Arabidopsis thaliana: one gene and its partner. The protein of the gene in region 1 binds, or shares a complex with, the protein of each later gene. Each region holds a gene or a part of one and is shown in the gene's direction. Other genes may lie near its edges. The genes, in order: EPF1 and TMM.

Region 1 (3,382 bases):
TCTTATTTTTCTGTATACCCCACCTACAAAAGACATAAACAAAACCGACCAAACTTGAAACACACAAATTAAAAAAAGCTTATATGATAGTATAAGTTATATCTCATCCAACTTAACGTATCAACTAACTCAATAGAAAAAGAATGTACCCTACCCATGTCAGTATCACCATACATTCATAATATATATAACTTCTTTTAGAATTTATTTAAATTTTGGATGGCTGTTTCGATACATAACCTTCTAATAAGAAGTGTAAAGGCAGGCGTAAAAAAAGATTCGACCTTAAAAAGTAATTAATTTCAAGTCACATGAATAATAATTAAAATGATGTAATAACAAAATAACGAAAACATCTAAATAATGCTAAATAATTATAAAACGCTAAAAATACATCGTTTTTAACTATATTTTTAATAAATGTATTCAGAAATATTAAATTATTTTTCCAATACGATAAAATTAGATAAATGTTATGGATTTTCTTATCATTCACAACAAGGAAAAACTCTTGGATGGTAAACTGAATGGACTTTCAAGGGTTGAAAAATGGAATGTTTTCTGAAGCAGACCGATTTTATACAAGCCCCTCAATTCGCATTAGTAAAACCGATGTCTCCTTGCATAATATGGATTCCAAATATGTTATAATGTCTATTGACATGAAGAACTTAGAAACCTTGGTACATATTAAGATGACGTGGACGCAAGGAGGTGCCAAGGTGGGAGGCTGAAGTCTTAAACTTTCGGCAGATAAAGATAAACAAACTCCAAAACAAAACAAAACAAAAAGAAAACAAAGACAAGGGAAAAGGTTCGTGTTAGAAGAAAAAGTCAACAGCTTAAAGCTTAAAAAGTCGGTGAATGAATGGGTCAGCTCTCTCCACTTTCATTATCTCTCTATGCTCTATCTCTCCAATCATAAAACTTGCTATTCCAATTAAACTTATACACTATCCATTAGTATTTTATGTAGTATTCTTATTAAGATATTTTAACGTGGTCCATCATTCTACTTAATAAGTTTTTCTCTTCTTTTAAATTTATTGGCAGCAGTTTGAGAAAACGATTAGATTGATTAAGAATGCAACGAATGTCAAATCCCAAACCATTATCTTATACCAGTTATATTATGAGTGCTTCATATTTATATATTAACTTGCCAAAGTTTTGAAGATTATACTATGAAGGCTACTCAAAGGGACATTGATTCCTAGAAGATGATTTTATGATGTTAAGCCGTTGACTTTGGTAACTAAATCATTTGACCTTTGATGTTTCTGCCCCCTTTAGCAAATAGAAACTTAATAAGAAAATTTTCATTGAAATTTAGCATCCCAAAGAAAGGTGTAGAAAAGTTATAGTGTAATGTGATTGGTGAGGTGCATGTTCGACACTCTTCAAATGTTGATTGAAACTTTTTTTTGTGTGCAAAGTTGATTGAAACTTTAATATTTTTTCATTAATCGCTTAAAGTGTAGTAGTGTCAAAATATTGAGATGTCAAGTATAGAACATACTATCATTTTCAAAACAATTGTGCAATTTCAGTATAATCAGTATTTAAATCATTAATAACCTCATGTGTAATTAACTCTATTATATTATCGATTTTAAAACACAAGCCCCAAGACAATGTCCCTCATTCTATCTCATCAAATGCTCAACTTTTTTTTTTTAGTAAGAACATTAATTGGGTGCATTAATGAAGGTCACAGAAAAGAAGGGTTATAGAGGGTAAATTAAAGGTGATTGCACACAAAAGTATGTCTTTCAGTTTTTCACAGAGGAAGCTCATGACACTCACCAAAGCAGCACGAATGAAGTTCAAGTTCTTAATTAGGCTTCACATACTCTACATCATCTCCTCAAAATTTATATCATTTCATATGTTCGATCTTGTTTTCATGTGACTCTCTCCTCTTCTCTACCGTGAGTCTCTTCAATTTCCTAACCCTTTGTTAACGATCATATATACCTTGTTTCTCGCCGTACTATTTCATCCCAAATTTTACTTTTACCACTTGCGATAATATATCATGAAGTCTCTTCTTCTCCTTGCCTTTTTCCTCTCTTTCTTCTTTGGCTCTCTCTTGGCTAGGCATTTACCAACATCCTCCCATCCAAGTATGTATCTATGCACATCTTTCTTACTCCAGCTCTTTCACTATCTTCAAGATCTCTAACTTGTTCATGTCTGCGTGCATGTGCAGGTCATCATCATGTAGGAATGACCGGGGCATTGAAGCGTCAGAGGAGGAGGCCGGACACGGTGCAGGTGGCTGGGTCTAGGTTGCCAGATTGCTCACACGCGTGTGGCTCGTGTTCTCCATGCCGTCTTGTGATGGTTAGCTTTGTGTGTGCATCCGTCGAAGAGGCTGAGACTTGTCCAATGGCTTATAAATGCATGTGCAACAATAAGTCCTACCCTGTCCCTTGATCAGCCTCTTCTACACTTATTCTATGCATTCAACCGTTTTGTTTTCCTTTTGCTTCTCCGGGACATGACCATGTGTACGTATACAATGCATCTTTAATTAGTTTCTTTCTTATTATTAATAGGAATCTTAAACACAGTTTGATCCGAGATTAATTAATCAGAAAATATATGGATATCAAAAAATGAAAGCCACTCACCTATTTGGGCTCTCTCGCTGTATTATGGTCCATGAGGCCGTATTTAAGACAGCAACAACAAAAGTTGTAGACAGAATTATATTTAAAAGGCAACAACAAAAGTACGTATACGTTGTTACCACCAAACTTTGGAGGCTCGCTAATAATAACCACACTACCCATTTGTTACACACCCTTTATTTTCAACCATATCATCTCACCTTCGTTAAATGTTCCCACAATTAGCTCAGTATTTTACTATATACATACACACACATTCCCTCCACAGGATCAAACAAACACACGAGCTTTCTCCTCTACAACAAAATAAAATAAAATTAATGGCTTCTTCACTTATCACCTCCGCAGTCATTGTCGTGGTTTTAAGCCTAGTGCTTGGATCTGTAGAGCAAGTGAGTGGACTACGTCACGTTCCCAAGTCCCCTAAGACCACTGATGTCAAACACCCTGACTTTCTTGTAACCATTGAGCCCAAACCAACTATTCTCATTCCCGGTGTTGGAAGGTTCTTGCTTCCTCCCAAATGCAAGAAGCCGTTCTACCCTTACAATCCTGTCACCGGAGCTCCACTTACTGGTGGGGGAATCCCATCATATAATGGTGGACAAGGGGCCGGACCTCACACCCAACTCCCTGGTGGCGATGATACGCTTGTCCCAAACCCCGGATTTGAAGCGCCAACCCCGACCATTGGAGCTGGCACCGGAAGCAACGGCCAAGTTCCACCAGTGCCACTACCCTGAGTA
Region 2 (3,931 bases), on another chromosome or scaffold:
CCACAGCGATGATGTCAGTAAGAGAAACAAGGCCTTGTAGCCCACCGTTCTGGTCCACGACCCAAACTCTGTGTACACGTTTCGTGGTGACCATATGGATCACCTGGGCCAAGGTTGATGTCACGTGACACGTCACGAGCTCCCTCCCTGGTGTTGAGGTAGCAGCGGTGAACAAGAGAGTTCTTGGGATTTTCTCGACGAACTCTAGTGCATTTAGCGGCAACCACGAACGCAATGTGGCTAAATGACATCCCTTCAGATCACTAGCCGAGAATGTCCCCACCACTCTCCGATTTTTCCCCTGCACCAGCAAACACCAAATTAATCAACATTTGATCTTAATAGATACTGATAGATACATGTATAAGTAAAGACACCTACGTCGACGAGCTGTTTATGATCCTCTCCCTCACCAGAGGCTTCGACGATAGGAACCGCATTGAGCATTGCTATACTCATGCATTGTATTGCATCTTTCACTCTAGCCTGGTATTAAACATTACAAGCGTTTAACTTAGGATTTAATGAATAAAGATGAAAATTCTTGACTTGTGAAATTTACCTGGCTAGTGAGGGCTAAAACAGTGTTGTGAATAGCGGAGAGATCAGTGACGGTGTGGGAGAGGATACCATGCAATTGAGAGGATTGGTCGAAGAAGAAAGAGATGAGATCCATCTGACTCAGCATTGCGTAAGCAGAAGCTGACTCTACCAACTCAGGTCCTGTTATATTTTCTGTATTACTGTCCAATGGAACCAATACCCTGTGGATTCCTTTACTCAACATCTCCATACAATCCATGATGCTGCTTTCATCAATGACCATCTTTGATTAGTACTCTATCCGTTCATATATAATGTTAAGATTTTTGACAAGAGAAAAATGTTTTGCATTTTTCTATGAAAAATTTGCATTATAATTTCTAATTTATCATTTAGTTTGAATTATAAAAAATATGAAACTATAAACAATTAATGACTGAAATATGGGTATATATATTAGGTGTTGCAAAAGAATTCTTACTATGTGAGAAAAGTGTACAACATCTAACATTATAAAAGGGAAGGATTAATTATACTGAAAGCAATTTAATTTTACAAATCTTCTATACTATTAACCTGGTATTAGGATTGAGAGACCAGAGGCTAAGACCCTCAGGGCAATGACCAATGATAGAAGAGACAGGGGCAGCCATTTTCTTATCAAGCCCACTCTCGCCGTCATCGCCGGCGATGTGAGCCACAACGTCGAGCATGGTCACCATTCCTATGTACTGTTTTCTTGCACTTCCGCTCTGTTTGTCCAACTCTACTATCATTGATCCCCCGGCTCCCAGCCATTGGCCTGGTTTGGCAGCCACCGGTACAGCTCTAACTCGGTTTGCCACCGGTTTGATACCAAGAATAGTCTTGTTAGTAATTCTTGATACTTAAAACGGTTGACTCCAACCAAAAAAATAACAATTATTTAGCCGTGGTTTACCATAGTGTTCAAGGCGTCCCCTAGAGTGGCATTATCAGGAACTTCGACCAGCCGCCGCTTGTCGATCATCAGATCTTTGACCTTGAACTGCATCAGACGGCTGTACGACTGCATGAAGATTTGTATTTGGGTGATAGTCAAAGTCTCAAAGAAAATGGGACGAGGCTTATGAACTTCTAATCTTTGTTTTGATGCTTTCGTAGTTACTTCATTATTCATATATGTCATGTTACTAGTAAGATGACACGTATTACATGTGTTGCTCCATGGGCATGTGCTTTTCGTATGCACAGACCACGCGTCCGTTTATTCAGATTCTCGTGTTACAACAAAATAATGATTTTAAGGTTCAGAATCAAACATATGAAACTTTTTATCAATTGCTATCTACGGTTTGTTACAAAAACAAATACAGTGCCCAGTTCAAAATACAAATTGAATAATAGCCCAACATATCGTAAATGGGAAAATGGGCTCAGCCCAAATAAAAAAAAAGTAAACGATAAGGAGACGTCGGGTCCCGTTCACGAAGCGGTCGGATCTAGGGCCCAACACAAGACGAATGAAGGGAATATCTCGTGAAAGCAATAAATGCAGAAATCGAGAATCATGAATTTTATTTATTTCGCTCCTCGAGTTATCCCGTGAAAGTCATAAAGACATTGCGAACGTTTTTATGGACCCACCAATTGTTTCTTCAGAATTATACATATACACACTGACAATTTCGAACCTAAACCGCATTCACACAACAACAACAACTAAGAAATGGCACGATATGAATTCTTCCGCCAAATATTCATTGTCTTGTCTATAGTTTCTCCGTTGGTCAGATCTTTCACTGTGATCACCTCCGACTCGACGGCCCCATCTGCTCTGATCGACGGCCCACAAACTGGATTCACGATGACCAATGACGGCGCTCGCACGGAGCCTGACGAGCAAGACGCCGTCTACGACATTATGCGTGCGACCGGCAACGACTGGGCTGCCGCGATTCCAGACGTTTGCCGAGGGAGATGGCACGGGATCGAGTGTATGCCGGACCAGGATAACGTCTACCACGTGGTCTCTCTGTCGTTCGGAGCGCTCTCAGACGACACGGCGTTTCCGACTTGTGATCCACAACGCTCTTACGTCTCTGAGTCCCTCACGAGGCTCAAACACCTCAAAGCCTTGTTCTTCTACCGATGTTTAGGCCGCGCCCCACAGCGCATACCGGCGTTTCTGGGACGCCTCGGCTCGAGTCTGCAAACGCTGGTTCTGAGGGAGAATGGTTTTTTGGGACCTATCCCTGACGAATTGGGCAATCTCACCAATTTGAAAGTTCTTGATTTGCATAAAAATCACCTCAACGGCTCCATTCCCTTGTCGTTCAACCGGTTCTCCGGTTTAAGATCGCTTGATTTGAGTGGTAACCGGTTGACTGGTTCCATTCCCGGTTTTGTTCTTCCGGCGCTGAGCGTTCTGGATTTGAACCAGAATCTTTTAACCGGACCGGTTCCACCCACACTCACAAGCTGTGGATCGTTGATCAAAATCGATCTTAGCCGAAACAGAGTCACTGGTCCTATCCCAGAATCGATTAACCGGCTCAACCAATTAGTGCTTTTGGATTTGAGCTATAACCGGTTATCAGGTCCATTCCCGTCTTCTCTCCAAGGCCTAAACTCTCTTCAAGCTTTAATGCTCAAAGGCAACACAAAATTCTCAACAACGATTCCTGAAAACGCGTTCAAAGGGCTCAAGAACTTGATGATTCTTGTTCTCTCGAATACGAACATCCAGGGCTCGATACCGAAATCATTGACTCGGTTAAACAGTCTTCGGGTCCTTCACCTAGAGGGCAATAATCTGACCGGAGAGATTCCTTTGGAGTTCCGGGACGTGAAGCATCTAAGCGAGCTGAGGCTCAACGATAACAGTCTGACAGGACCAGTACCGTTCGAGAGAGACACAGTGTGGAGGATGAGGAGAAAGCTGAGGCTGTATAACAATGCTGGTTTGTGTGTTAACCGGGACAGTGACTTGGATGATGCATTCGGTTCAAAATCTGGTTCAACTGTAAGATTGTGTGATGCAGAAACGTCGAGACCAGCTCCTTCCGGTACGGTCCAGCACCTATCTAGAGAAGAAGACGGTGCTTTGCCGGACGGAGCTACGGACGTGTCAAGCACTTCCAAGTCTTTGGGGTTCTCCTATCTTTCTGCATTCTTTCTTGTATTCCCTAATTTCATTTTTATGCTAATATCTAGTTAGAGGAGGGATGATAAAACTGCTGTAAATACTTCCCGAGTTTAATAATGTTAGTTAGATGCCTTTTCTGCATTAGTTGGATTGAATATCGCCACCATTTATGGCTACAAAAAAAACTTGTAAGCTCGAACGTGTTCCTTCTGTCTATATACTCTGTTCTTTGATCTCTGTTTTATCTTTCCGGAGATAAGA

What was found.
Region 2: the proteins of EPF1 (region 1) and TMM are in contact, whole or in part, in a crystal structure (PDB 5XJO), measured with the Arabidopsis thaliana proteins. Residues at the interface, in NP_179684.1 of Arabidopsis thaliana: Arg56 (codon at 2,290), Asp59 (codon at 2,299), His62 (codon at 2,308), Ala63 (codon at 2,311), Gly65 (codon at 2,317), Ser66 (codon at 2,320), Lys93 (codon at 2,401), Pro102 (codon at 2,428), Val103 (codon at 2,431), Pro104 (codon at 2,434); in NP_178125.1 of Arabidopsis thaliana: Trp73 (codon at 2,468), Ile77 (codon at 2,480), Pro78 (codon at 2,483), Arg82 (codon at 2,495), Gly83 (codon at 2,498), Arg84 (codon at 2,501), Trp85 (codon at 2,504), His86 (codon at 2,507), Tyr98 (codon at 2,543), Asp111 (codon at 2,582), Thr112 (codon at 2,585), Ala113 (codon at 2,588).

The regions. Positions count from the first base shown.
Region 1 is NC_003071.7:8,982,236-8,985,617, reverse strand, and holds EPF1 (epidermal patterning factor 1), read left to right. Parts: upstream 1-1,803; 5' UTR 1,804-2,038; coding exon 2,039-2,126; intron 2,127-2,212; coding exon 2,213-2,439; 3' UTR 2,440-2,755; downstream 2,756-3,382. Other genes in the region: AT2G20870 (cell wall protein precursor), read left to right, coding at 2,957-3,379. UniProt on the Arabidopsis thaliana protein: Controls stomatal patterning. Regulates asymmetric cell division during guard cell differentiation. Mediates stomatal development inhibition. Not cleaved by the protease CRSP (AC Q9LNU1).
Region 2 is NC_003070.9:30,127,884-30,131,814, reverse strand, and holds the start of TMM (Leucine-rich repeat (LRR) family protein), read left to right. Parts: upstream 1-2,165; 5' UTR 2,166-2,251; coding exon 2,252-3,742; 3' UTR 3,743-3,931. Other genes in the region: CBSX4 (Cystathionine beta-synthase (CBS) family protein), read right to left, coding at 1-301, 382-486, 563-806, 1,120-1,388, 1,484-1,597. UniProt on the Arabidopsis thaliana protein: Promotes cell fate progression in stomatal development. In leaves, needed to correctly orient spacing divisions, to limit the number of asymmetric divisions in neighbor cells, and to promote the asymmetric (amplifying) divisions of meristemoids.